7 linked regions of the Ovis aries genome follow. The protein of the gene in region 4 purifies or fractionates together with the protein of the main gene of each other region. This does not show direct contact. Links are inferred from orthologs where the notes say so. Each region holds a gene or a part of one and is shown on either strand. Other genes may lie near its edges. The genes, in order: DCLRE1A, IGF1R, XRCC1, PCNA, CDK4, CCND1 and POLA1.

The links.
Region 1: the proteins of PCNA (region 4) and DCLRE1A purify together in Homo sapiens (affinity purification with western blotting; 3 studies listed by BioGRID and IntAct, with this or other methods). This does not show direct contact. The link is inferred for Ovis aries from reciprocal best matches to the Homo sapiens genes PCNA and DCLRE1A.
Region 2: the proteins of PCNA (region 4) and IGF1R purify together in Homo sapiens (affinity purification with western blotting; 3 studies listed by BioGRID, with this or other methods). This does not show direct contact. The link is inferred for Ovis aries from reciprocal best matches to the Homo sapiens genes PCNA and IGF1R.
Region 3: the proteins of PCNA (region 4) and XRCC1 purify together in Homo sapiens (affinity purification with western blotting; 3 studies listed by BioGRID, with this or other methods). This does not show direct contact. The link is inferred for Ovis aries from reciprocal best matches to the Homo sapiens genes PCNA and XRCC1.
Region 5: the proteins of PCNA (region 4) and CDK4 purify together in Homo sapiens (affinity purification with western blotting; 5 studies listed by BioGRID and IntAct, with this or other methods). This does not show direct contact. The link is inferred for Ovis aries from reciprocal best matches to the Homo sapiens genes PCNA and CDK4.
Region 6: the proteins of PCNA (region 4) and CCND1 purify together in Homo sapiens (affinity purification with western blotting; 5 studies listed by BioGRID and IntAct, with this or other methods). This does not show direct contact. The link is inferred for Ovis aries from reciprocal best matches to the Homo sapiens genes PCNA and CCND1.
Region 7: the proteins of PCNA (region 4) and POLA1 fractionate together in Homo sapiens (co-fractionation; 3 studies listed by BioGRID). This does not show direct contact. The link is inferred for Ovis aries from reciprocal best matches to the Homo sapiens genes PCNA and POLA1.

What each region holds. Positions count from the first base shown.
Region 1 is NC_056075.1:33,846,765-33,850,909, forward strand, and holds the start of DCLRE1A (DNA cross-link repair 1A protein), read right to left. Parts: upstream 2,907-4,145; 5' UTR 2,856-2,906; intron 2,350-2,855; 5' UTR 1,717-2,349; coding exon 1,251-1,716; intron 1-1,250. Other genes in the region: NHLRC2 (NHL repeat-containing protein 2), read left to right, coding at 3,351-3,528. UniProt on the Homo sapiens protein: May be required for DNA interstrand cross-link repair. Also required for checkpoint mediated cell cycle arrest in early prophase in response to mitotic spindle poisons.
Region 2 is NC_056071.1:7,454,176-7,457,871, reverse strand, and holds part of IGF1R (insulin-like growth factor 1 receptor), read right to left. Parts: intron 1,811-3,696; coding exon 1,684-1,810; intron 166-1,683; coding exon 1-165. UniProt on the Homo sapiens protein: Receptor tyrosine kinase which mediates actions of insulin-like growth factor 1 (IGF1). Binds IGF1 with high affinity and IGF2 and insulin (INS) with a lower affinity. The activated IGF1R is involved in cell growth and survival control.
Region 3 is NC_056067.1:51,484,878-51,489,080, forward strand, and holds the start of XRCC1 (DNA repair protein XRCC1), read right to left. Parts: upstream 2,994-4,203; 5' UTR 2,825-2,993; coding exon 2,711-2,824; exon of another isoform or gene 2,635-2,710; intron 2,068-2,634; coding exon 1,975-2,067; intron 1-1,974. UniProt on the Homo sapiens protein: Scaffold protein involved in DNA single-strand break repair by mediating the assembly of DNA break repair protein complexes. Negatively regulates ADP-ribosyltransferase activity of PARP1 during base-excision repair in order to prevent excessive PARP1 activity.
Region 4 is NC_056066.1:47,048,022-47,052,246, forward strand, and holds the start of PCNA (proliferating cell nuclear antigen), read right to left. Parts: upstream 2,881-4,225; 5' UTR 2,761-2,880; coding exon 2,540-2,760; intron 1,453-2,539; coding exon 1,355-1,452; intron 1,221-1,354; coding exon 1,153-1,220; intron 425-1,152; coding exon 230-424; intron 1-229. UniProt on the Homo sapiens protein: Auxiliary protein of DNA polymerase delta and epsilon, is involved in the control of eukaryotic DNA replication by increasing the polymerase's processibility during elongation of the leading strand.
Region 5 is NC_056056.1:161,900,487-161,904,599, forward strand, and holds CDK4 (cyclin-dependent kinase 4), read left to right. Parts: upstream 1-1,341; coding exon 1,342-1,559; intron 1,560-1,725; coding exon 1,726-1,861; intron 1,862-1,976; coding exon 1,977-2,144; intron 2,145-2,296; coding exon 2,297-2,406; intron 2,407-2,656; coding exon 2,657-2,707; intron 2,708-2,852; coding exon 2,853-2,988; intron 2,989-3,396; coding exon 3,397-3,489; downstream 3,490-4,113.
Region 6 is NC_056074.1:43,280,934-43,285,108, reverse strand, and holds the start of CCND1 (G1/S-specific cyclin-D1), read right to left. Parts: upstream 2,985-4,175; 5' UTR 2,825-2,984; coding exon 2,627-2,824; intron 1,041-2,626; coding exon 825-1,040; intron 319-824; coding exon 159-318; intron 1-158. UniProt on the Homo sapiens protein: Regulatory component of the cyclin D1-CDK4 (DC) complex that phosphorylates and inhibits members of the retinoblastoma (RB) protein family including RB1 and regulates the cell-cycle during G(1)/S transition.
Region 7 is NC_056080.1:22,998,033-23,001,728, reverse strand, and holds part of POLA1 (DNA polymerase alpha catalytic subunit), read right to left. Parts: intron 2,740-3,696; coding exon 2,643-2,739; intron 777-2,642; coding exon 696-776; intron 1-695. UniProt on the Homo sapiens protein: Catalytic subunit of the DNA polymerase alpha complex (also known as the alpha DNA polymerase-primase complex) which plays an essential role in the initiation of DNA synthesis.

The sequences.
Region 1 (4,145 bases), on a different chromosome or scaffold from region 4:
AATGTAATATTACTTCAGTTCTCATTTGGCACAATTATTTACTAGAATCTTAATAAACTAACACTCCTTCCTAGTTCTTCTCTCTGTACCTTAAGAAGAATGTACGGCATTCTTGACTTCAAGACTCCTGTGGACTACATTCATGCTTCTCTAAAAGGCTGTTTCATAAAAGATAAAATGGGCAAATCGTTCAACTTTTAAGAACACTAAGTGCTCAGAGTCTGCCTGCAATGAGGAAGACCTGGGTTCTATCCCTGGGTCAGGAAGATCTTCTGGCCAAGGAAATGGCAACCCACTCCAGTATTCTTGCCTGGGAAATGCCATGGACAGAGGAGCCTGGCAGGCTACATCCATGGGGCCGCAGAGTTGGACATGACTGAGCGACTTCACTTCACCCCTATTGGATATCAATTGCTGTTATTTAGTCACTAAGTCGAGAAGGGCATGGCAACCCACTCCAGTATTCTTGCCCGAAGAATCCCTATGGGCAGAGGAGCCTGGAGGGCTGCAGTGTCTGGGGTTGCAAAGGTTTGGACATGACTGAGCGACTAAGCACAGCACAGTTGCTAAGTCATATCTGACTCTTTTCGACCCTAGGGACTGTAGCCCCCCCAGGCTCCTCTGTCCATAGGATTTCCCAGGCAAGAATACCAGAGTGGATTGCCATTTCCTTCTCCAGGAGACCTTTCCAACCCAGGGACTGAAGCCATGGCTTCTGCACCAGCAGGTGGATTCTTTACCTCTGTGCCACCTGGGAAGCCCATTAGATGTCAACACCACCTACCTTATGCAGGTAAAAGTAGCCTAATATGTGCCCAATTAACATTTATGAAAAACCACAGATGTTTTGGAACTCTTATGAAATAATAAAATGCATCGAAACTTTCTTTTTTGGCCATGCAGCTTCTAGGATCTTAGTTCTTGAACCAGGGATTGAACCCATTCCACCTGCAGTGGAGGAAAGGAGCCCAAACCACTTACCACCAGGGAATTCCCCATTCAAAGTGTTTTCAGGTTTGCAACACTCTCTACAGCTATACCAATGACTAGTATCTTTTTAGCCTCACAAGAAGGGTCACAATGCATTATCTTGTTTCCTTCAAAGATGAGTCATTCTTACTTAAGAGTATCTCATCTCACTTCCGGTTTACTACTTATCTGGTTTCCTTCCTTCCTTCCAGATTGGTAAGTCTGGCCTCATTCAGGTCTTGTTGACTATTTCAAGCCCACTGTCTTTTTTGGAATCTTACCTGTTCCGGAGACTGGTGTGGAATCCAAACACTCAAAAACATGCCATCGAGGTGTTTGACCTAGCAAGCAGGAAAAAGGCATCTGGCAGTTGGGACAGTACCCATCATAAACCGGTCGTGTCTTTGGAGACACGTGTTTGTTTTTGTGAGTCCTACAGCGCTTTTCTGGAGTGACCTCTGTGTCTTGGCACTGTTGAATACCATCTCCACAAATGGAGTTCTGACTGGAAGCGACAGAAGTCTGACTGTCTGTTTCTCTAAGGCACGTTTCTGGGGTCTTGACCTTCTTTTTAGTTTCTACAGTCCTTTTTTTATTTCTGTTTCGTTTTGACTGGTGTTGTCCATCTGTTGCTTTTTCAACAAAATCTGGAATATTCTCAGAGCAATTATTTGGATGTACTCGTTTTGGTTTTCTTTTGGATTTGTATTCCCAGATGTCTTCTTCCAAAAAAGCATCTTCTAACATGGCAAAATGATTCTGATCATTAAAAAAGCACTAATCTTAAGTAAGTTGACAGTCTGTTTCTTGTTACAAAATTATTAAAGGGAATTATTTTGCTGAGGGAAAAAAAAAGTGACAAAAAACTTACTAACTTGATGGGACTCTAAAGCTCTGGTATTGAATATATTGGGAAACCACAAACCTTTTACCTAAGAACACTTGCTGTTTCATTTATGGCATCTGAGTTTTCCATTGTGTATACTTCATTCAGGTCTCTTGGCTTTTTCCAGGACTTGATTCATAAAAATAAGAATCAGTAATACTTTGAATACCAAGTCCTAATGGAAATCATAGGTTTAACAGACTAATTTTAGAAGGAGCTTTGTAAAATCCTTATAAAGCTCCTGTCAATTCTTTTTCAGCTGGACAAGTGTCCAAATCACAAATCCAACCACAGTCCCTAGGCAACTGACTCAGCAGATGCTCCAAACACTTAAAAGGCTACTTCAGCTTGCTAGCAACTCTAGTCATACCATAATCAAATGTGTGTGATTGGCAAAAGAAAAGTAATAGCCCTTATCCGTGACTCCAGGACATTCAACAACTTCGGTTTCCTGGGTCAGTCCAGTATCTTCCTCCAGCGGCAGTGAACAAGGGCTGCACAATGAACAAACAAAATTCAAGTATGTGAAGTTGGACCTGCACCGAGGACACCCCCACGCCTAACTTCAGATCGCAGAGGTGATCTGCCTGCGAGTGATCAGCTTTCTTTCCCACCAGCCTCAAAAACCAAGGTTCACCTGCCTGATGACACCCACCGGCTCGATCTCCTGTTTGGGCATTAGAGGCGGCAAGGCCAGTGGAGGGGGCCCTCATTCCCCTCCCCACTCCCAGGGCTGGGAGCCAACACAGCCCGCTCCGCAAAAGCCACCGGTGCCCCCACCCCTCTTCTGAGGGCAGACGCCCACCTGGCACCCTCACCACCCCCACCCCGCTGCGAGGAGCTCCAGCTGCGTCCGCTCCCCCCCGACACCCCTCGTCCGCCTGGTCCCCGTGTTCGCTCCTGCACTTTCACTGCACCGCCTGGTAATAAAACGCGGCGTTGGTGTATAAGCCAAGCCATTGGCTAGTCCCTCCCAACTTAAAAAAGCCTGCTCCTTTACCTTTCATGTCGTGGCGGGAACAGCTTCCCGTGACCAACGCTGTGTCGAATCGGCTGTTCCCGGTCTAAAACGGGAGCTTTGAAAAGAAAAAAAAAAAAGTTTGGGCCCTTTAAGTTCGACAGGTTTATTTTATTTTAGTTCTAAAACCTGCTAATTTCCAAACTGAAGGGCGGGAATTGTTCTCTTGGAGCTTCTAGAACGCCGGCCCAGGGGCCTTTTCCTTGTTGAATCTGGCGTTCCGAATGTCCAGGCTCCCCTGGGGCGAGAAGACTTAGGAGGGGCGGGGTACCTTGGGAAGGTAGTTTAATTACGTGCCTGGGAATCGCGCCGATTTACACTTTAGCCTTTGAACAAAGTGCCGTTAGCGTGGAGTGGGGCTGGTGGAAAGGGAGGCGAATGTGCGGTTTGGAAACCAAAGAACAATAAAGCGCTTCCTCTCTCTCCACACGAGACCGTCCCGCGGGCTGGGCGGCCCCTGGACCATCCGGAGAGAACATGGCGGCGCCCGGAGCCCGGAGCTGCAACCTCTCGGGCCTGCTCCCGGCTCAGACCTCGCTGGAGTACGCCCTGCTCGACGCCGTGACCCAGGAGGAGAAGGACGGCCTGGTCTACCAGTATCTGCAGAAGGTGGACGGCTGGGAGCAGGACTTGTCGGTGCCGGAGTTTCCGGAAGGTGAGGGGCTGGCTTCGGGGTGGGGACCCCTCCGGAACCTCCCCTTTCTCGCGGACCGCGCCCTCCCCTAAAGCGGTGGGCGAGGCGGCTGTACAGCCGAGCCGCGGAGAGACGCCTCGCCCAGCCGACTCTGTCCCCAGGCGGCAGCGAACGAGGGTTTGTGGAGGACGGGAACCTGCACCTTCGTCTCTGTCCTCCGGCTCTGCCCGGGCCTTGGGTTAACTCAGTTCACTGAGTTAAAGTTTCGTGGCCCCCATTGGCAGTGATTCCAGTGTCCACGCCACCCTGTCCTCTCAGTCTGGTTGCCCATCGTCATCATCATCTTTGTGCATCATCCAGGCTAACGGTTACGGATCACTTGTGGGCCACACAGAGTCCTAAACACAAAGTATTTGTAATTTAATCTTTGCAAACCACCTAGGTGGTCTTATTGCGTGGGTGCTTAGTCGCTCTGCCATGTCCAACTCTGCAGCCTCATGGACTGCAGCCTGCCGCTCTGTCCATGGGGATTCTCCAGGCAAGAATGCTGGAGTGGGCTGTCATGCCCTCCTCCAGGGGATGGGCCCAACACAGGGATCGAACACAGGTGTCCTGCATTGCAGGCGAATTCTGAGCCA
Region 2 (3,696 bases), on a different chromosome or scaffold from region 4:
GTCACGGCCTTCACGTAAACGGCGTACTGCGTCCAGGGCTTCAGCCCGTGCAGCAAAATGCCAGGCTCCACGTCCTTGTTGGGCGGGAGGTCCACGTCCACCATGTTCCAGCTGTTGGAGCCGCAGGCGTCCTGCCCATCATACTCCGTGACGTTTTTAAAGGGGCTGAAACACAGTCAACGAACCTCAGACAGTGCTTTACAGTGCTAACGTGGAAACTCTAAGAAACCTCCCCCGGGTGTCCCCTTCCACTTTCCATAATGGGGATTCTAGGTAAAACATATCAGCAGTTAGATCTTTACAGAACCAAAGTAAGCTACCGGACTCCAGGTCTCAGCTGGTTCTCTATATACTATAGAATCAAACCCTCTGCCTCAGGAAGAGTAAGTTCTGTAATTACTGAGATTGGAAACACTGCTCCTGAAGAGTATATACAAATACTCTTTCCCTTTCTTCCCACTGTGGCATTTTTTTTTTCCACCATAAAGAAAAAACAAGGGCAGTCACTTAATGCAAACATCAGTTATTGATAAGAATAACTTCTGGAGGAAAATGCCTTTGCCACAGACAAACGGCTTCTCAAATACAGCCTCCAAAATCTAATTTGCTCACAAACAATTCTGATTGCTTAAGCATTTTTATCACATTCAAATATTTAGTTTCCAGGTTATCTCAGCTACTAATGTCAATCCCTTGGTGAAAGTGCCAGCCGACCCTGCCAGAGCACTGGTAGGACTGTCAAAGAGGACGGTGGTTCTGCACAGATGCGGAGCTGGACAGGGATCCCACGCCCCTCAGATGGAAGGGCTGGACCACCACTGGTTTCTGAAACCGGCATTCACACACCCCTCCCAATCGTCGTGACAGCGGATGAGTGACTCCCACATGCAGGGACGGTGAATGCCTGAGAATCCTGCATCTGCGCCTTCTCATGGGCATGACACTCCCAGGGCCCCAGCTGTGGCAGGAGAAGGGGTACCAGATGCTGCCACCATGGCTCTGGTTCCAGCTCCAGAGAAGCCAGGCACCGGGAGAGGCATCAAGGCGGGACCTGGGTGAAGAGGGTGACTAAGAGGCCCAGGCAACCACCCGGATGCAGGAGGCACCGGAAGGGAGGGGCGGACCAAGAAGACATCCCTGCCATCAGGAGAGACGTGCTGGCTGCCCGGGCAGGCAGGTGTCCCCTGAAGGACAAGAAATGCCCCTGGCAGATTCTGGGAGAGATCCTGAAAGGTTCGGGACAGGGAGGTCAGTCTCTCTCCAGTCTCCACCCCTAGTTTGGAGGGTTTACGATCTACAGTGGAGGGCCACATCTGGGGAGGGGCCACAGAGAGCGACGGGAGAAGACTACGGACTCCTCTGAGGGTCACCTCGAGGGGGGCTGAGCACCCCGACTCAGGTGTCTGTGGACTATGGGTTAGAGGGCACCAAGGCTACAATGATGCCGCCACCACACGCTCCATCCCAGCTTCTGAATGTTTGGACTGACCTAAGTCACTAAGTTTTTCGCTTTGGACTTTTTAAATTCAAGCATCTCTAAACACCCCCTGGAGAAGGAAAGGCGTTGAGAAAACACTTTTTCATTTACAGCTGTCACTGGTGGTTGCGGCTGTCACCGGACAGCAGGGCTGGGGGGAGGATGAAGCCCGCCCACAGAAGGACATCCGCAGCGCAGACACTCACGCTTCCTTGTAGTAGACGGTGAAGCTGATGAGGTCCCGGTAGTCGGGGGGCCGGTACCGGTGCCAGGTGATGATGATTCGGTTCTTCGACGTGGTGGTGGAGGTGAAATGCAGGACGTCACTTTCACCTGGGGCAGAGGCACACGCGTGAGGGACTGCGATCTCCGCCCTCCCCTCCCTCCCTCCCGCGGGCTCACCTGCCCGGCACCATGACCCTCTCCCCCAAAGCTGGCTGTGCGTGCAAAGCCCCTGTTGGAACGTCTCAGTGACCCTGCTGTCTCCACTAAGGACCCAAACACTGCACTACAGGGCCTGCAAGGGGCTCTGTCCTTTGCTTTCGCTTACGAGGGGCTCTGGATGTGAACCTGTGGGAAATCCTTAATAACCTGGAAGAGGACTGCTGGCTGCACCAAGGGAGCTTGTCTCTGTTCATGCCTGAGATGTGGGCCACCGAGGGGCCTGGGGACCTTGACGCTGGACGAGTCTTCTTAGACAAGGTGACACCTGTCTCACCACTGCGGATCTGCCTGGTCGCGTCAGTAACGGGGCAGGTGTGCCACAGGAGGGGAACTTTACTTAGCCTGAGCTTGGAACTGACACCTTCCTGCGCGACACCTCCAGGAACTCCCTGGAGGCTCCAGCAGTGCCGACACGTAGCGGGGAATGGACCGGGCACTAACAGAGCCCACCTCGCTCAGCACGGCTCCCGTCCTCTGTGGGAGGAGCCTGGGCCGGGAGCACCACAGGGAGGCTGTCCCAAGTCCCCTCGTGCTCCCAGACCAGATTCAAACAGCTGAGAACTCAGGGAGGGTTGCGGAAGCCGCCCGGCTGAGACCCGAGCTCTCCTATGAATGGACCTTCCCGCCCCCGGCCCTGTGTTTGCCGACTCCCTCCCACTGCACCCTCCACCCTTGGGAGGTGAAGCAGAGGCCAGCAACAGTTACAACCCAAGATGTCTGTGGGGCAAAACGTGATGGATTGAGATGGAAAAAATGCTGCAGTTTCCGCTAAAATGTTATTTACAGAGGAAACATCATTTTTCTCCCCCCAAAGACAATAAATGGCTACTGTATTCATGATCCAACAGGTCAGACTGGCTGCCTCTCAGCAGAAAAACACTTTGAGAGAGCTATGCGACATCCACTCTGCGATGGTCTAAACAGGAGCGTGGCGAGGGGGCGTGTGGCGTGCAGGAAGAAGGCCCTCCAGCTCTGCGTCGGGTTTCTCTCCTCTAAAATCCCTTCCTGGGCAACTCGAGAGTCTACAGGGTGAATCCCAAGCCCACAAAATGAAGTCCAGTGCTGACAGTCTCTAAGATTCTCTCTGGCCAGTGTGCGTGTGTGCAAACCACCCCGGATCACAGGGGCTAGTCTATGTTTTTTTGCATATTGTCCCTTATCAAAAGCCAATGGTGGAGAGAGCATTTACCTTCATAACCTGATCCAGCCACACAGAGGCACACCGTTTTTAAAAACAGTTTTACATACAAGGTTAGGTGAGAAACTCACCATTCAGAGGCAAAACCTTCAAGCAGAAGTCATATAACCAATATAAGATTATAATTATACTGTCCTAAATTTAAAAAGTAGCTATCAATTCAGGGAGGCAGTCTCTCTCCATTTTTCATGCTGTGCTGGGACCAGGATCCAGGTTGGGGGCCCATGGCCACAGGGGCTGCAGCTGAGCCTCCCTGCCCTCAGACCTCCCCTCCACCCCGGAGACTCAGGGCTAGGCTCACTCCCTCCCAGGGCTGGAGAGGACCAGCTCTCCCCTGGAAAACAATCCAACAGTCTGCCTGAGCATTAAAGATGCTTAACTCTGTGTATTCTGTAAGCCCCTCTTTAAAATCTAAGCGAAAAGCCATTTATAAACGTTTATACACAGATAGATGCTACTGAAAATTTACTAATACGAATCTGCCTCACTACTGCCTTTGAAGATGTCCAGGTGTCGGTTTAAGAGGCCTGCGTGAAGTGAGGAGGGGCCACGAACAGAAGCCACCGCGCAGTGTGGG
Region 3 (4,203 bases), on a different chromosome or scaffold from region 4:
ATCCAGTAACACACACGTGAATCCCCCCTTGACACACACGCCTGCGTGCTGACATGGCACTTCTGCAAACACTATGTCACCGGATTTTCACGGTGACCCTGGGCGCCCAGCACATTATCCTCCAAGAACAGGTGAGAAGACAGCTTCTGAGACATGAAACTATTTGCCTGAGGTCACAGCGAGAGTAAGAGAGGGAGATGGGGACTTGAATTCCACCTGAGATTAACTTGTCAGCCACCTGCATCTCTCTCTCAGTTGAGAATACTGCCTCTAGGCAAATGTATACTCTCTCTGGGCCTAGTTTCTGCATCATACAGGGGATAATAATAGATTTGAGGTGATGGGATTTTTATGAGGATTCAATGAACTAACCCATATGAGGCATTTAGAATGGTAACTGGCAGGGTTTTGTTTTTTTTTTCTGAGGTGGGGAGCATTTTCCCAAGTTGGGCATTGAACCTGGGCCTTGTGGCATGGAGTGGAATCCTAACCACTGGCCCACCAGGCTATTCCCAAACAGTTGTATCTGTGAATAAACTCTTAGCTCTCATTATTCTGACTATACTACCTTAGGGAACTATGAAATATTAAAAGTTCAAAAATCATTCACAAAATCCTGTGACTTTGTGTATAATTCTTGGGAGAAGAATTCTTAGCTTCTCTCTAATTTGCAAAAAGGTCTATGAACCAAAACATTTTCAGAACCACTGGGTAAGACAGACAATAATAAATTTAACACAATCCGGCAGGCCTTGCCCAGCATCCCTCCCCAAACACCCTTACATTGGAGGGATGAATGTGGCCAAAATCCAGAAGTGGAGGACTTCCCTGGTGGTCCAGTGGTTAAGAATCCGTGCCGCCAACGGGGCAGGGGGCTGGGGGCAGGTTCAATCCCTGGCTGAGGAACTAACGCCCCAAAGTGTCATGTGGTGTGGCCAAAAATTAAAAATAAAAAAGACAGAGACTTCTCAGGAGATCCAGGAGCTACAACTCCATGCTCCCAATGCAGGGTGCCCAGGTTCCCAACCCTGGCCAGCTAACTAGATCCCACATGCTGCAACTAAGACCCAACACAGCCAAATATGAATAAATATAAAAAACAAAGTTAAGTCAACATATAGACACAAAGAAGAAAGAGATGGCTAGAGCACCCACACTGGGTTCAACTCGCAGCACTGCCATGCATGAGGGGTGATAACAGCTCCACCACCATTCGACTCCTTGGAGAGCCAGATCACGCAGGGTAACACCCAGGCAGCCCTGGGAACTCACTAGCTCGCTTCTCCTACCAGTTCCTTGTGCCTGATGGGAAAAGCCTGTTGGGAAGTCTGTCACCATCCTGGGTCAAACTGCCCTTTTCCCTTTGCTGCCTCCAACTTCACCAACACGTACCACAGCACTCTGCATTCCACGATGGCCACTAGGCTGGCCACTTCACTTTGGCCCTTCCTAGGCCTCAGTTTCTCCATCTTTAAAATGAGGTTGATTGGCTTAGATATGAGACACCTTCCAGTCCTAAGCCCAGGGCCTTGAGAAGGCAGAATGCGTGGCAATGGTTTACTCTCTTCCAACTGAGGATAAGGCTCTGAAAAGAGCAGCAACCTACCTGGACCACACACGGATTCATTCCTGGCCTAGTCCTTGCCTCACCTCTCTCCTCTGCTAAGGGCACAGGGACCACACTGCTTATTGTCCAGGTGAGGTGGTGGGGACCAAAGAGAAAGTGCCTCAGCTCACTGCCAGTTAACTCCAGAGTAGAGTGTGGACCCTGGACCTACAGATTTCTATTAAGGAGATGGAGGGAGGGGGACTTCTCTGGGGGCCCAGAGGTTAAGACTCTGAGCTTCCAAAGCAAGGGGCTCCAGTTCTGTTCATGGTCAGAGAACTAATATCCCACATACCACCCAGCAGAGAGGGGGAAAAAAAAGATGGCGGGGGCTGGGGGTGGGGGGAGGTGGCAGCTGGCAGAATCACCTGGAGCACCACAGAGATGGTCTTCTCACCCGCCTTGGCTGCTCGCCATTTACGGTAAGTGTCTGCCTTGAGAAGGTTTTCTGCACAGTAGGTCTGGAGAGAAGAGTAGAAAAGGAAACGTTAGGGTTCAGAGGTGAGGGCTATGTCCCCAGCTCTCAGATTAGTCTGAGAGTTCTCTCAAGCCATCTGACATCACCCAGGTTTCAGTTTCCTTATCAATCCCCCCACACTCTGGGGTTTGAGGAAGAATGGATACATGGATATGTATGTCTGAGTCCCTTTGCTGTTCACCTGAAACTATCCCAACATTGTTATCTGTCTATACCCCAATACAAAACCTTCTAGTGTTAAAATAATAAATCCCTCCACACTCTACCTGGAGTCCCCTCCAACATTTCCCCCTAGAAATTCACCTCTGCTCCTTCCCAGGAAGCAAAGCACCCTACTTTTCTCTCAGCAAATTTCTCGATCCCACATCTCTCCAAAATTCCCTATGGCCTCCCAGAAATTCTCCCATGACCCTCCTAGAATTACACAAAGTCCCCTTTGTGAAAGGAAAACCAAAATGAAGTCCGCATTGCTAAAAGTGTTCTCAAAGATTGACCGGGGGGCTACGGAGGAATTCTGACCAAGCGGGTCGCAGCTACAGTGGAATCTGACCTTTTGACCACTTATTGTATTCACACAGGCATCCAGAATATGTGCCAGAAACTCAAGGTACTTATCAGACCCTTACCCTCCGGTAACTCAGAACAGCGTCTTCTTTAAAGCCAAATACTTCTTTCCGTGTATCACAACCAATTAGAATTCTCTCCACACGACTGTAATAACCTGCGACCTCTGTCCTCATAAGCGCCTGATTCCCGCTGCCAACACTCCGTTCAACGGAATCTGTCTCCCAAACTGCAATTCGTAAGAACCCCAAGCTCTTTCTTGGCACCCCGCATACGGATTATTTTTCAACACCTCTGAGACTCCAGAAGTTCCAGAGCCCGCTGACGAATTCCTTCACTTCTTCCACCCTCCCCCACGCCAGTCCCTCACCGAGTCCTGGCTACTGCAGGACACCACATGGCGGAGGCGGATCTCCGGCATGTCAACGTCGAGAGGGCTTCGCCCGACCCAAAAGATGCACGAAGGTCTGAGTTTCGGGGGCTCACAGGGGGTGCGCCCCGTGCGGCCTTCACTGCGCAAGCGCACGAGGCTCGGGCCTTTCAAACCGCGGCGCGCCGGCGGTTACGTCACCACTGCGCATGCCTAGTGCGTCTCCCCGGAGAGCGCCCAGAGGAGCCGAGTTCCCTAGCAACGAGCTTTTCCCGCCTGGCTCTGGCCAAACGGCTCTCTCGCCCCTCCTCCCAGTCACTTTCACACCAGGCTTTCCTAGCAACTGGCTTGGCCTGCAGGATTGGTCCCCAGCAGAAATTCGCCGTCCTCAGCGCCCTAACTGAAGCCTGGAAAGCAAGAGGCCAGCAATCTTGAGTGCATTTTTTCAGGAAGCCGGGAGCCTACCGCAACACGATCCCCTCCATGGCTGGCTGGCTGGCTACCCTCCCCACACCAACACACAGACACACATCCAGACACACACCCACAAGAAAATCTCTGATCCCTGAAGATCAGGCCTGAGGCAGAGACATTGTGTAAAGGACCTTAATAAACCACAAAGTGTGTGCCCGAACCAGACACACACCCAGCCTTCCTTTTCCAATGGGAACTCTGGGCATCTGTCCACTACCATCCCCATGCCCTGAACAAGCAGCCCTCTGTTCCGTCTCCGAGAGACCCATGTGCATCCTGGGGTGGGGTCGGAGATGGAGACAGACCAAACACAGAAAAGGGAGTATGAGCCAAGCTCGCGCCAGCAAAACAAGCCTGGACTTGCTGGGCGCTCACAGGTAGTGCCTCACCCACACTGGGCACCTCCTTGGGGAAGGAGAGAAGGGGGAGGGCACCTGAGTCCTAGCAGCTGCTCTCCCCTACAGGAAACAAAATGACCTGATTCTGATCGTGGGCTTAACATTAGAAAAAAAGGTGGTGACGGCCGGTGCGGTGGGACCTGATGGAAGAGAGGGTTGGAAGCCCAAATGCCTGGGGCTGCATGGAGGAGGGGGCTGGGCACAAGATGCCACTGCTCCTTTTGGATTCTGTTTCCCTCTCCCCCACTCAGAGCTGGAGAGACCTACCCCAGGGCTTACCTCATCATTTCTTAGCCTAGGGGTAAGGTAGGTC
Region 4 (4,225 bases):
AAGGCAGACTCCTCATGAATGGGATTAGTGCCTTTTAGAGACCCCAGAGAACTCTCCTACCCCTTTCACCAGGTTAAAGAGGCTGCTGTCTTCTTAAATGAAGAAGCAGGCCCTCGTCAGACACCAAATCTGACCCAGTCTATGGTACTTTGAAACAGTAGCCTTACCAAACTAGGACATAACATAGTGTAATTCTTCAAAGTATTTTGTTTACTTGAAAACTACTTACAGCTTCCTCCTCTTTATCAACATTACTCGTCTGTGACAATTTAATATTTCCATTTCCAAGTTCTCCACTTGCAGAAAATTTCACTCCATCTTTAGCACAGGAAATTACAACAGCATCTCCAATATGACTGAGATCTCGGCATATACGTGCAAATTCACCAGAAGGCATCTTTACTACACAGCTATACTCTTGTTCCTATAAAACAAAGAAATGTAAAGGTCATGGAAATGAAAGATTTGGCACCCTCACTTCCTGAAGATTCAACATCTAAACAAGAACTCACAATTCAAGATTTTCTGATTACTCTGAAATATCACTCATTGTGCAATTTCTTAACATTCTACTAAAAAAAATGCAGATATAAAAAAGAATAATCATCATCATACTAAGAAACCAATTAGAACTTAAACTTTTAAAAGTAAATGCACTATCCAGGGAACAAGAGCCTCCAGCTAATCACTCTATAGGAGGTCTAAATCAAGAAGACATTAGTATATGGCATACAAATGGTAACAGCACAAATAGGTTTGCTTTCCAAAACAAGAGCGTGTTAGGCATTGTAAACATCTGAACACATCTTCTTTTGATGTTGATAAAACCTAACCATAATGAATTTCTGCTAAAATAGCTTTAAAATCTCAATAAAAATCAAGCACTCTAGGAATAATAATTTTTTTAAAAGATGCAGAGGTTAATGCAAATATGTCCTTGGCAGCAATGAATTCAAACCATAGCACTGTAGAACACCATAATTTAATAAAATGACAAATATATCAGTCTAAATACCCTACTCTGGAATATACATGAGCAGATATACAGAAAAGTTCTATTAGGAAGTAGGCTTTAAATTATTATATAAATATATGTTATGTAACTATCATAACTGTGTACAGCATGCTCAATCAGAAACTTTTGATACTCACTGGAATTCCAAGCTGTTCAACATCTAAATCCATTAACTTCATTTCATAGTCTGAAACCTTTTCCTGATCTACCAAAAGAAAGCAAATTTGAAGAAAAACACGTAAATTTACAACTAAGAGGTATATTTTACAATCATCAGACTTGGGAAATACACTGCATTTTAGTTTCCTCTGCCATAACTCAGTAGAAGGGTGGACTTACTTGGAGCTTCAAATACTAGTGCCAAGGTGTCCGCATTATCTTCAGCCCTTAAGGTAATGATGTCTTCATTGCCAGCACATTTTAGTATTTTGGACATGCTAGAACAGAGAAGACAAAGGGTTTTTAAACACCATCTTCTCAAGATCGTTAGTTTTCTAATGGAATTAAAATCAGGAGTTACCACTTTTAACCATTAGTTGCAGTTGTTTAGAGCGTAAGTGGTGTCTCCTGGACTGCAGCCTATCAGGGTCCTCTCTCTGTCCATGAGATTTCCCAGGCAAGAATACTGGAGTGGGTTGCCATTTCTTTCCCCAGGGGATCTTTTCCACCCAGGGATCGAACCCTCATCTTCTGCATTGGCAAAGTGATGCTTTACCAGTGAGCCACCAGGGAAACCCTTAACCAGTATGCCATCTGTCAGATTGGTGAGTTAGGAAAACGTACTGCACGGGGGATATGCAAGCCGGTCCAGACACTTTGGAATGCAATCTGGCAGTATAAACCCAAAAGGCCCACAACATACCAAAAGCAATTTCACTTCTGGATATAAATAAAAGAACAACATTTTATGAATTTCGAGTGGGTGAAGTAAATTATCGGGCCAACTATCTTTAAAAATGATCTAATAAACCTATTAAAGTACACGGCATGTACTATGGGTATTTATCATAAGCTTTAAGATTTAAACATGTGTAGTTCAAAAATTGAACGCCATTGCCCTGGAGAAAATTTTCAAGTCCAGGATCTTAGGGTGCTCACCGCAACTTTGCAGTAATAAAAGAAATACTCTGGTCCCTAGATAGTGTGACAGAACTAGGATACACTATAAAGCACTTTAAGTCAACCAGGACCAAGGTTTCTCATCCAAGTTGCTTGCACTTAACGACCAAAGCGTTCTGCAACAGTCTTTTCCTGAAACCGCAAAGTCCATCATTTTCCCGCCACCACACGCTTTGTGACTTTGGCGCGGAAAACAGCCGGTTCGCTGTTCGCGCTGCAGCCAGCGCGGGCTTTGCAAACCGCGCGCTCTGCTGGGTCCCGCCACCCGCCCAACTCCGCAGCAGGCCAATGAGAAGACGCAGATGGCCCACGCCAGCCAATGAGGGCCCGGCTCGTAGGAGCTCGCGCCAAGAGCCAGAGGTAGGAGCGGACCATGGCCCGGATGTCCGAGGCTTTGGAGCTCACCTGGTGAGGTTCACGCCCATGGCCAAGTTACGGTCGCAGCGGTAAGTGTCGAAGCCCTCGGAGCGAAGGGTTAGCTGCACCAAGGAGACATGAGACGAGTCCATGCTCTGTAGGTTCACGCCACTTGAGCTGATGTCCCAGCAGGCCTCATTGATGAGATCCTTAAGCGCCTCCAGCACTTTCTTCAAGATGGAGCCCTGGACCAGGCGCGCCTCGAACATGGTGGCGGAGTCGCAATGACACGGCTACAGGTACAAGGAGTGAGGAATGTGTAACCGGCTTAGGCTTCAGAGGATGAGAGCGAGAGGCAAAACACGATTACGAACGCCTGAGACGCCTCTAACAGCTAGCCGCGCCTGCAGCCGTTTAATACTGCCGCGTCTGCTAGCGCGCGCTACGTCTCCGTGCCCCTTGTTGATACGTCATCACGCTGCCCTCCCGCTGCCTGGGCGGAGAGACTGTAAAGCCAATCCTGTCCCTGCACTGCACGAAAGCCGCCCCACCCCGAGCATCCATTGGAGGATGCAGGTATGGGGGCGGGGCAGGAGCGCAGCGCTTCAGGGGCCCAGCAGATAGGCGTGCGCTGGAGTCTTGGCCGTTTTGTCATGTTCCGGCACCCGTAAGAGGAGTCCTTGTGAGTGTGAAAATCAGTCCTAGGCTGGGCGGGAATGGTCGATGAGCTGCGACGCTGTGCTGCCTCATCAGCCTCCCGCGTGAGGGGTAGAAAATTTACAGCCCTGAGTGAAACGTAAATCCAGGCTCTGTGCTCAGTCGCATCGGTTTGTCTGACTCTTTAGGAAGAAAAGCCACCTTTTCTTTAGCTGTTTGAAGGGAGGTACAGTTATGATTTAAAAAAAACAAGAAAAGTTATCTCCCTACTACCAGCTCTTAAAGCTCCTCCGCCACCTACACACAAATTGATATCATTTATTCTATGTAACTTTCTAAGTTTTTTTTCCTCTACAAGTATATATCTTTTAAAAAACAAAAATGAGTTCATGCCATAAAGAATTCAGCAAAGTGCTTACTAAAGTATGTTTAATTTTATGCCAGGTTCATGTTTTGTTTATCAGCACCTCTTAAAAAGATGGCATCATATCCTACAAATGTAACCTAACCTAACTGCCAATCTCTTGTAATTCGGGCAACTCCTTGAAGTAGTATTGTTGGATAGAGGAGCATACGCATTAAATTTTTGATAAATGTTAACTAAGTTGACTTCTAAAAGATTGTAATTTACATTCCAGCCAAGACTATGAGCATGCTCCTTGCCTCTAATTTTTCTGTTACTGGCAATCTAATTTTTAAATCTGTGCTCGTTTGTGTGGAAATTTCAATTTGCATATTAAAAGACTGGTGCAAATTGGATATCTTTCATACAGTTCTTGACCATTGCATGTTTATATTTTTTCTATTAAACTTTTTTCTGATTGATTAAAAGCATTTCATATATTAACCATCTCCCTATTATGAATATTCTCCCTTTGTTTCTTTTTTCCTTTGTTTACAGCATTTCTTTTTAGTTACTTCTAGTGTTTTACCTTGGTCTGTAGAATTCTTTAGTCTTTCTATCATGTATAGTGTGGATGTGGTTTTATTTATCCTGTTCATGGAATTTTTGTATTCCTCGGCCGAAAGATTGATGCATTTCATCAAATCTAGAATATTGTCAACCATTATGGTTTC
Region 5 (4,113 bases), on a different chromosome or scaffold from region 4:
CTGGGAGTTGGTGATGGACAGGGAAGCCTGGCGTGCTGTAGTCCATGGGGTCGCAAAGAGTCAGACACGACTGAGCAACTGAACTGAACTGGGCACCGTCTACTCCCTATTTTATATGACCACATATAAACTATGTGACTGTATCTTTATAGATAAAGGTCAAGTGTCTGCGACACTTGTCGAAAAAAAATTAACAAAAAAAAGAAACCCCACAGACACACAGGAAGCAAGGACTCAGTAAACATTTGCTGAATGAATGAATGAAACAAAGACACAAATGAGAACATGTTTTCTGCTAGCGATGGAGCAGAAAGACGACAGCAGCACCTCCCGTCCCTCGACCCATCTCCCCGCTTAGAGAGAGTGAGAGACAGGTAGTGAGACTCAGGCTCGGCTTGCAGCCCGGAGTTGGGAATCCTGGGTGGCCCAGGTTGCCATGGCATCGCATTGGACTCCACCCTCTCTCTTCTCCCGCCCCAACGCCCAGCCAGAGTTAAGGCAGCCAGTCACGTGCCCTTCAGCGTAACCACACCTCTGCTCCTCCAAGCAATGTCAAGCGGTCACGTGTGATAGCAACAGATCATGTGGTTGCCATCTCTCTCCGCCTCTTTCCCCTCCTCGCCCCTTTCTCGTTCAAAGCCGCTTTCTGGCTGCCCCTCCGCGCATGAGTAGTCCGGTCACGTGGTCCGAACGTCCGGCGTTGGCCCCGCCCCTCCAATTTCCGCGCGCCTCTTTGGCAGCTGGTCACATGGTGAGGGTGGGGGTAAAGGGGGCCGCTCTAGCCTGCGGCCTGTGTCTATGGTCGGGCCCATAGCGTCCAGCTGCCCAGGACAGACCTCGAGTGTATGGCGCTGCAGGAACCGGCTCCGGGGTCCGGATAACGGGCCGACCCCGCAGCTCCTGACACGGGGCGAGGTGAGTGTAGCCCTTTTCAGGAATGGGGACCATTCTCGCCGTCCACTGCTTCCTACGCGGGCTGGTTATGGAAGGGTTGCTCGAGGGCGGGAAGTGGGGCAGGATGTGATAATGTTCCTTTGTGGCCGAAGGGAGGTGTAATTTCAGGAACTGGGTGTCGGGTCTTTGATGTAGGGGGTGTGTCTTATGGGATTTCCCTTGTGTGGGGCTTGATGGTCCCCAAGGAAAATGCATCTTTGAAAAAGTTATAGGGCCTCACGTGGCTGGAGGGTTTGGGGTTAGAGTTATTGTGTTACCTAGGGGGCTGCCTTCAGGGAAGCTTGGGAATGCTGTTGGTGTTGTCTTCGTGATGTCTTTTGTGGGAGTCACTTTGTTGCTGCAGGCTCATTGAGCCTCTGTGATTGTAGGGCCTCCTCTGGTCTGAGAATGGCTACCTCTCGATACGAGCCAGTGGCTGAGATTGGTGTCGGTGCCTATGGGACAGTGTACAAGGCCCGTGATCCTCACAGTGGCCACTTTGTGGCCCTCAAGAGTGTGAGAGTCCCCAACGGAGGAGGTGCTGGAGGGGGCCTGCCCATCAGCACCGTTCGGGAGGTGGCCTTACTGCGGCGTCTGGAGGCTTTTGAGCATCCCAATGTTGTCAGGTGAGAAGAAGATGGAAGGGTGGGAATGGGTCGTGAAAGGAAAAAGACAGCCTAACCTGTAGATGTGGAGTGGTGGTCAGAAGAGGAGTGGGAACCCTGAGGAAATAGGGGAGGCCATGTTGGGTCCAAGACCATTGCTCAATGAGTGACCATTTGTTCTGGCCAGGCTCATGGACGTCTGTGCAACAGCCCGAACTGACCGGGAGACCAAAGTGACCCTGGTGTTTGAGCATGTGGACCAAGACCTCAGGACGTATCTGGACAAGGCACCCCCACCAGGCTTGCCAGTGGAGACCATAAAGGTAAGTAGGGCGGGCAGACACTGAGAGATAGCTTGAGACCTTTGTGGTAGTTTGTTGTAATTTCAGGTGTGGCACCTGATTCCCAGTTTCTCTGTACTTCCCCCTTCCAAACCAGGATCTGATGCGCCAGTTTCTAAGAGGCCTGGATTTCCTTCATGCCAACTGCATCGTTCACCGAGACCTGAAGCCAGAGAACATTCTGGTGACAAGTGGTGGGACAGTCAAGCTGGCTGACTTTGGCCTGGCCAGAATCTACAGCTACCAGATGGCACTTACACCTGTGGTCAGTAGAATGATGGTGGCCAGGATGGGGCCAGAGTGGGGTCTGGCTGGGGGAGAAGAGTGATTGCCCATAACAGTTGAGAAGGAGCGTGTTTTTCCATGTGCTTTGCAGTAACTTGCAGGACTCTCATCCGCATTACTTATTCCCATCAGGTTGTTACACTCTGGTATCGTGCTCCAGAAGTTCTTTTGCAGTCTACGTATGCAACACCCGTGGACATGTGGAGTGTTGGCTGTATCTTTGCAGAGATGTTTCGTCGAAAGTATGGGGCCCAAGTATCCCAAACATTTTGAATTTCCCAAGTTTTTTATTCATAAGCCACGCCTATACCCTGCCTGCTCTTCCACTTACTATTGGCCACCTTGTCCATAGCCGGAAACTCTGAAATGTTCTGGAATTAGGAATTTCATAGCCCTTTATTCTCCACACCCTATGTTTTGAGCCACTAAACAGTATCTACCACCCTGTCTTTGTAAAACTGCTACTGGAATGACTGTCTCTTTTCACCTTAGGCCTCTCTTCTGTGGAAACTCTGAAGCTGACCAGTTAGGCAAAATCTTTGAGTAAGTGACCTGCAAGGGGGAAGAACTTTGCATTCCGAGTCCTTGACTTTGCATTCTGCTGAGTCCTTGACAGCAGCTGGCTCTGCCCCTGGAGATGGGGGCTGGAAAAAGGCCCTCCTGACCAGAATTCTCTTGTTCCCCATAGCCTGATCGGACTGCCCCCGGAGGATGACTGGCCCCGAGATGTCTCTCTACCCCGAGGAGCCTTTTCCCCCAGAGGGCCCCGCCCAGTGCAGTCAGTGGTCCCTGAGCTGGAGGAATCCGGAGCACAGCTGCTGCTGGTAATAGACTCAGGCATGGGCACAGGGCGAGACTACAGGGGGAAATCACGTGTTTGTCACTCAGTCCTGTCAGACTCTTTACAACCCCATGGACTGTAGCCCACTGGAGTGGGTTGCCATTTCCTTCTCCAGCGGGTCATCCCAGGGATTGAATCTAGGTCTCCTGCATTGCAGGCAGTTTATTTTACCACTTGAGCCATCAGTGGGGGGAAATGGAGCAGGATAAAAGGGACCCAAATGCATTGTTGTTACTGAGACTTGATAATGAACAGGTTGGTTTTTATTACTGTTTTGAACGGCTGGCCACAAGAGGGATAGAAAAAAATCACCCATTCTAGGTATTGTTAGGGTTAAGCAGGAGTCCCTTTTGTTTCTTCCATGTTTTCTGACATTTGCGTCTCTTCTCAGGAGATGCTGACTTTTAACCCACACAAGCGAATCTCTGCCTTCCGAGCCCTGCAGCACTCTTATCTACACAAGGCAGAAGGTGACGCAGAGTGAGCAACAGAATGGCTGGAACAGAACCAAGGCGAGAGACACAAATTTCCCTTCTTTTGAACACTTGAGTGGAGAGCCCCACCACTGAGAAGGCAACCTCTGCCTTCACCTCTGAAGCTGTGGAGACGACTCCTCCAACTTTTTACAGACAATATTTTACTGCCTTAACAATATTCCCCTCCCACCCTTCTTTTTGAGGCTTATCCTTATCCTGTGTCCTTACACCAAGAGATATGTCCCTTGTTCTCCCCTTCTTTATACCTTTATATTGGGATCCTTTTTTATACAGGACAAACAAAACAAATATGGTCTTTTTTTTTTTTTAATATTTCTTCCTCTGATTGGCTTTACTGTTTGGGAATTTGGAAAAAACCATTTGGAAGATGGAATTTCCTTGCAGATTCTCTTTAGATCACAGGGTCAGTGGAGCCCCTCTACTAACAAGGGAAGGAAAGGCATTTACATGGCTTCTTTGATTATAGAGTTTAAATGGTTTTTATTTTTATATTTATTGAACCTCCCCAAACCAGGTCCTCCTTATTACAAGAGTTCTTGGTAGTTTTCTCTCGGGATCTGTCCCTGATTTACCCTTGGAGCAAAGATGTGTTGAGGTGGTCCAGCATATGG
Region 6 (4,175 bases), on a different chromosome or scaffold from region 4:
CCCAGCCCTCTCTGCTCCCCAGAACGGGGGACAGAGGAGCGCTTCCAAGAACGGGAGGGGCCCGGGGAAGATGTTCCCGCATCTCCCCCGACGCGGAAAACCGAGGCATGGGCCAAGCAGCTCCTCCCGGGCACCAGCGGCGGGGACCAGCACCCTACCTGTGGCACAGAGGGCAACGAAGGTCTGCGCGTGTTTGCGGATGATCTGCTTGTTCTCCTCGGCCACCGGCATTTTGGAGAGGAAGTGCTCGATGAAGTCGTGCGGGGTCATGGCCGCCAGGTTCCACTTGAGTTTGTTCACCAGGACCAGCTCCATGTGCTGCGGACCCGGGGGAAACGCGTGTCGAGAGGCGCAGGCGCGGACCCCAGTGGAGCAGGGGTCGGAGAGAGGGGATGGGGGTCGCTGGAGGGTCCGGGAAGTGAGGGGGAGAGCGCGCGACCCCACATTCCGTGCAGGGACGGTGCTGCTCGCCAAGGGTCCTACCCTAAACTCAGCCCACCCTGGGCCGGCGGAGACCAGGGGCCCGCCCACACCTGGAACGCGGAGCCGGGTCAACCGCGCGGGCGCCGCCCCGCCGCCGCCGCTGGAGGGCGCGCGCCCCCCACTTTTCGCAACGCTGGGGGCGCAGAGGTGGTGGGAGTCAGAGGGAAAGCGAGGGGGGCGGCGGCGCGGCTGCGGGGCGGCGCGGGGCCCCGCCCGTGCGGCCGCCTTCCTTGGGGGCGAGGGTCTCTCGGCGGCCCGCCGGGGACCCCCGCGCCTCCCCCACCCCGGGGTCCCGCGGCTAACTGGGCGTTCAGGGGCCGTGGCGGGGGTCCCAGGGTTACCAGCAGCTCGTCGGGCCGGATGGAGTTGTCAGTGTAGACGCACAGCTTCTCGGCCGTCAGGGGGATGGTCTCCTTCATCTTCGAGGCCACGAACATGCAGGTGGCCCCCAGCAGCTGCAGGCGGCTCTTTTTCACGGGCTCCAGCGACAGGAAGCGGTCCAGGTAGTTCATGGCCAGCGGGAAGACCTCCTCCTCGCACTTCTGCTCCTCGCAGACCTGCCGGGGGGCACCGGGGGCCGTGACCGCCGCCGCCGCCGCCGCCGCCGGGAGCGCCCGGCCCCTCTGCGGAGACCTCGCGCCCCCCGACCCGGCTCGCGCCAGGGCGGCTGGACTGCGAGGTCTCTGAGCGCGCGGAGGGTCGGGGCAAGGGGCAGCAGAAGCCGCCGCCGCCGCGCCCCTCTTCCCCGGGAGTCCCCAATACTCACCCACCCCGAAACTGAAAGGGAAAGTCCCAGCTAGGCTGGCACAGTGGGGGCGGGAGCGGGCACAGCTGGGCGGCGTGTGTCGCGCGCGGGCTGTGGGTCCCAGGGACCCCGGCCCGCGTGGGTGCTTCGGGAGCCGCCAGACCTGGGGTCGGCAAAAAATGGGGCGCAGGGCCGCGGGGAGGGCCGCGGGGCTGGGCGCCGCGCTCGCAGCGCCTGCGAGACACAAAGGTGGCGTCCCAGGCCGCCGCGCCGCATTTCCCCAGACGTCATCTTTTCAAAAAATATTTAAAAATATAAAAAAATTAAGTGGGTACATAAAAATGCCCTGAAAATGACCCTCAGACTGTCCTTTACCCAGGCCGGGAGTCGGGAGCTCGTTGCGGGCTCAGGGGAGAGCCCCAGGAATTCAAACTCGGGGGCCCCCCTTCCCCCTGGGCGCGGGCGCCGTTTCCTTCTCGCAAGGGCACCACGCCGCACTTTCAAAAATTATTTTAAAATACTTGCGGTGCCCCGGGGAGCCCTCTGAAGGCCTGAAAACGTGCCCCTGGCCCCCAGCTCGCTCCAGACAGGTCCCCCAAGCTGAGATCCCGGCAGATGAGGGTCCATTCCTAGCGTCTTGGGGGCCACGCGACCTTGCAGCCCGGCGTGCTCTCTGGCCCAAGCTGGCCTTGCGGGACGCCCCGGGACCCACTGCTTGAACAAAGGGGCCCCCTTTCCCGAGAGGGGTCCCCCCACAACTACCCGAGCTCTGTCCCCGCGCCCCTCCCGCTGGGTCCCGGTGGCGGCGCGGCCCCTCGCGGCGGCCCCAAGCGCCTGGCCGGCCGCTCCCCGCCCCCACCCTGCCCCCAATTATTAATAAACACTTTTGCTTTGCAATAAAAGAACAAAGATGGCGCATAATACTGGCACGAGCGGCCCTTGCATACGTGTCCATGGATATTAATTTAAAAATCAAATCTATGCCCCCTCCCCCTGGAGCTGGCGGCTCAGCAGCCGCGCGGCCGCAAGAGGAGGCGCAGCGGGGCTGCGCGGTGGAGGTCCCGGCGGGGGCCACAAAGGACGCCCAGCCTGCGGGCCCGCACCCTGAAGCCAACTGGGGTGCCCGGGCAGTGGCTTTCCCCTAGGGTACCCCTCCTCGACCGCCGCCGCCCCCACCCACCCACGAAAGGAATTATCTAATGACCCCACCCCCACTCCCTCCTTGTTCAAAAAAATACCCTGAATATCTATATATTTTGGAACTACGATTCCTAGCAACACTCTGGCAAACTTCAAAGTTTGGGTGGGAGAGAAGGGAGGGTGATGAGTGGCAAAGAAAAGTGGGTTTGCGCAACAAGTCGCAGGAAAGTGCTAAGAGAGCCGCCCGGAGCCCCGCACCTCCAGCATCCAGGTGGCCACGATCTTCCGCATGGACGGCAGGATCTCCTTCTGCACACACTTGAAGTAGGACACCGAGGGCGCGCAGGTCTCCTCCGCCTTGAGCATGGCCCGCAGCACTCGGTCGTTGAGGAGGTTGGCATCGGGGTACGCCCGGCGAATGGTTTCCATCTCGCAGCACAGGAGCTGGTGTGCCATGGTTGGGGGCTCGGCTAGGTGGCCGGGGGGCGGCGATGGGTCCGGGGCTGGGTCGGCTCTCGACTCGGGCTCCTGCTGCCCCGCGCTCCCTCGAGCTCGTCTGCCCCTCGCCGGAGCGCGCGGACGCTGCTGCTCGCTGCTACTGCGCCGACAGCCCTCTGGAGGCTCTAGGACTTTGCAACTTCCAACAAAACTCCCCTGTAGTCCGTGTGACGTTACTGTTGTTAAGCAGAGATCAAAGCCGGGCAGAGAATGGGAGCGGGAAGGAGGGGGGCCGGGCGCAGGGGGAGGGGGCGCGGGCGCCGAGCGTCGGGGAGCGGCGAGGGGCAGAGCCCAAAAGCCATCCCGGAGGCGCCGCGCCTGCACCGCGCGGTGTTGCCCCCGAAGCCGGGTTTTCATAGAAATGCAAACCGTCCTAAGGCTGCCTTTCTCCCCGCCGAGGAAGAGGGGTGCAGGAGCGGGGGTTGGGGGGGGGGTCTGTCCTCCCCGAGCGGGTCCCGCAGGATTTGGGGGGTTGGGTGACGGTGGCTCTGCAGAGGGGGACAACTAGGAGGGCGGGCAGGCCACACGCAGCTGGGGGAGACCGTGTGGAGGGGGACGCTGGGGTTCGGTGACACTCTGAGCCGGGAGAATGGGCGCATTTCCGAGAACGCCACGAGGGCACCCACGGGCGGAGGCAGCCAAGGGATCTTAGCGTCTACGTCTTCTTTCATTTTCATTAACACGTGTAAATTTCAGGAACCATTTACCATTCAGGGACTCAGGGCAGAGCCGACAACCCCGGTGGAGGTTTCATTCCCGCACCGAGGGGGGTCTGTGCAAATGCCGGAGGGGTAACCCCCAAAGTTAAAGGGCTTTCAGCCTAACACGCGCTCGCTCAAAAAATAAAATAAAATAAATGCCCGAAAATTCCAGCAGCAGCCCAAGATGGTGGCCAGCATTTCCTTCGCCCTGTCCTCTTCGCCTGGGGGATCTGCGCACTGTCTTCCTACCTTAGCTAGTCCATTCTTGCGGGGGGCCCCCAACACTTCCCCCCCGCCCCCGCCCTGTGCCGGCAATTTAACAGCTAGAAAAACACTCTGAAAGGAAGGCTGCAAAACAGTGGTCTCTGTCCTGTCTCGTTTTTTTAATTAAAAATTAAGCTAAATCGCTGGAAATATTGGTCGCCTCCCCGCCTGGGAGAAGACCACCGGAAACTTCCTAATTGGCTTTGTTGGGGGTGTGGACCTCTCTTCACCTTTAGAATTTGCCCGGGGGCTGCATTCGAGAGCCTGAGGCGGTTGGCGGGGGTCTGGCAACAATCAGAACAATTACAAGTTAAAGAAATAGGTGTATTGATCTGATGATTTTA
Region 7 (3,696 bases), on a different chromosome or scaffold from region 4:
AAAAGCCACTAAAATGTTCACTTTAGTGGAATTGTATGGTATGTTAATTCTATCTCAGTAAAGCTATTCTAAAATAAACCAGCTCTAAGTGAGCCACAGAATGTTGGCCAGTGATCTACCACTTGGTGGTAACAATGAACTAAATTTAAAAAAACATATGAAGAAAATTTCCACCTCTCATTTTACAGGAACGAAATCGGGCTTGTTGACTCAAAAATTTTTTTGCCAATGATTGTGATAGCTATGAGAATATAACACATTCATTCACATCGTTTTAAATTTCAATTAAACAAAGCAAGTTAACAGAAAATCGAAGCCTTGTTATTGTACTGTGCTTCTATCAAAGAGCTAAAATCCTAAGTAACTTCAGCAGGAATGAAAAGACATCATTATGCTTGTAGCCATCAAAATCAGCAAATCTAAAATGACCACAGCATTGAAAATTCTAAAATAAGTAAGACTAAACTCTTTGGATAGAGAGATGTGATATTTCATTTCCTGGTTGTTTTTGCTTTCCATGCTTAATTTTCTACATAACTACACTTCTTTCAATATTAGAACATTTTCTATACTCAAACACAATTGTGGTAGGTCCGTTTCCCCTGAAGAAACTGTATCAAAGTACCAAGTCATCTGAAATTTTAGACAATTTCTTAAATCTCAAAATGGCCCTCTTAAAAACAAAATGCAGGTACCTTTCTCATGGGAATCAAGAGCATCATCTTCAAGGTCATCATCAAAAATTTCCCGGCCATCCTCCACATAGCCAATACCATCTGCAGGAAAAAAATTTCATTATTAGGATCAAATTTCTAAACATAGCCAATATTTTGCCCATGACAAAAAAATAAAAACCCCCAATCAGATGTTCTCCTGGTCCATGTCATTTTAAAATGCAGCAGAATCCTGTTCAACCAAAAGTCAGATGAAACACAGCCCTCACACAGGTTTTCTGAGTCAAAACCAAAGGATATACAGCTGACCCTCACACAACTTGGAAGTTAACCCACATATAACTTACAGTCAGCCATCAGTATCTACAGCTCCTCTACAATTGTGGATTCAAACAACCACAGATGGTGTAGCACTATTGTATTTATTATCGAAAAATAGCCACACATATATAACTTTGCCAACAAACATCCCATCTAGTCAAGGCTATGGTTTTCCAGTGGTCATGTATGGATGTGAGAGTTGGACTGTGAAGAAGGCTGAGCACCGAAGAATTGATGCTTTTGAACTGTGGTGTTGGAGAAGACTCTTGAGAGTCCCTTGGACTGCAAGGAGATCCAACCAGTCCATTCTGAAGGAGATCAGTCCTGGGTGTTCTTTGGAAGGAATGATGCTAAAGCTGAAACTCCAGTACTTTGGCCACCTCATGCGAAGAGTTGACTCACTGGAAAAGATTCTGATGCTGGGAGGGATTGGGGGCAGGAGGAGAAAGGGATGACAGAGGATGAGATGGCTGGATGGCATCACCGACTCTATGGACATGAGTTTGAGTGAACTCCAGGAGTTGGTGATGGACAGGGAGGCCTGGCATGCTGCAATTCATGGGGTCGCAAAGAGTTGGATACGACTGAGCGACTGAACTGAACTGAACTGAAGCAGTTTAAACCCGTGCTGTTCAAGGATCAGCTATATACTATGCCTATTTATATGAACTAGGAAATAATTTGGCCCACAGGATCAAAGTTTGCCACAATAGGATGCTTTACAGTACTTCTACTCTGCTGCTGCTGCTGCTAAGTCACTTCAGTCTTATCCGACTCTGTGCGACCCCACAGACGGCAGCCCACCAGGCTCTGCCGTCCCTGGGATTCTCCAGGCAAGAACAATGGAGTGGGTTGCCATTTCCTTCTCCAATGCAAGAAAGTGAAAAGTGAAAGTGAAGTTGCTCAGTCGTGTCTGACTCTTAGCAAACCTATGGACTGCAGCCCACCAGGCTCCTCCATCCATGGGAGTTTCCAGGCAAGAGTACTGGAGTGGGTTGCCATTGCCTTCTCCAACTTCTACTCTACCAGAAGAATAAAAAGAATAAAGATCACCAGAAGTCCAGAAAAGCAATTTAGTCTGCAAGTTCAAGTTGGGAATATAGCCAAGTCCAATTACAGAAATAGGAACATAAACAGTGGCAGGCGCAGTCTACACCCCCTTTCTCTGCTGCGTGGTTGGCACTCACACACCCAAGAAGTCACATCCCACAAACAGGAACCACAGAGCTTTCCAGAAGGGCTATGAGAACATGGGGACCAGCCTATGTCTACCCAGGGCTTTCCACTGTCCAAGTCACTCTTCATGAGTACAGTCTTGTGTAATCCTCACAGCCATTCTGTGACATATTTTCCTCTACCCCATCACATGGAGACAGCCCACAGGTGTGAGATTCCTCCAAACTCCTACACAGTCACTTCCTGGAGGATTTATACTATAGTCTGAGGTGTATGTCTGGTTTCTCCAAAATGCCCCTCGACAAAACTTTCCATCGTTCTGCTTCCACACCCTCAAATCATGCATTTAAGAAAAATCCAAGCCAAAGGTGCCTTACATCTACCTGTCCAAGCAAAGAAACAACTCTGCTGCATAAGAACTTATGAAAAGCTACTGACACAGTGTCTGGCAGGTGGCTTCTTCCCACCTACCGTCATCCACGATCCAGTCGTCATCCTGGCGGGCCTGGACCAGCTTCGAGTACTGTTCCTCATCAACTTCTTCATAAACACTCGTGAAGTCCTCTACCTGCCATCATACAAGTTTGAGAAAGCTCAAGTGGAGTGAAAGTGTTAAACAATTCTGATGAAAAAATTGTCAAATTCAAAGTGGAATGGCAGCCTGAAAGAGTTAGCTGCAACCAAATCATGAGTTCTGACATTCAACACCACTGCAGGGTTTTCCTTAAATAGACATCAATTAACTTAGTATTCCTTTTAGGTGGGTGTTAACATAAGATATTAAATGATTCCATTAGCATAATACACTTGTCACACCATCAATTACTCATCTACTTCATAAAAAACAAACTGAATTATAGCCAATTCTTCATTAGCTGCTTTGGGGATTAGTCATTTGTAATTTCGAGATTGGTTTCTCCTGTACTTGGCAAACCTGTGAGACATGCTGCCTCCCTTTCCGCTAGCTGATGGTGCCCCCCAAAAAGACAGTAATCTCCATAACTGTTCAACCGATCAAATGAAATTCCAAAATCTCCCCCATCCAGCCCCCTCCAAAAACCAGGAAAACAAACACAGTCTATATTCTACAGGTGCACTACAAATGGTTTTAGAGTAATCCTTGTTTGTATCACCACTGATCCCTAACCATTTTGGGGTGTCAAAAACCAAGTGCAAGTGCAGAGTGGCAAGACTGGTAATTACACAGGCTGCCTGACCCTCAGAAGGCCAGAATTCCGCCAACCACTGACACGAAGACAGCAGACCAGCTAAGCACAGTTAAAGCACAGAGACACACACCACTGCCGCAGCTGCCATGGTGACAGGTCATTAATGTCCCAGGTGAGAATTTGGTGGGCTGGTTATCAAGAACTTAAACATACCCTGCTAAAAATCCCCCTCTTCTCTTGACAGTTCTGCCTTTCCAAGTGAGGGGTGGAAGAAACGACCAGCTCCATCTGAAGACCTAAGACTCTAGGGGAAAAAACACCTGGACACAGAGCTTGGAGAGCCTGATGGGCAGAGT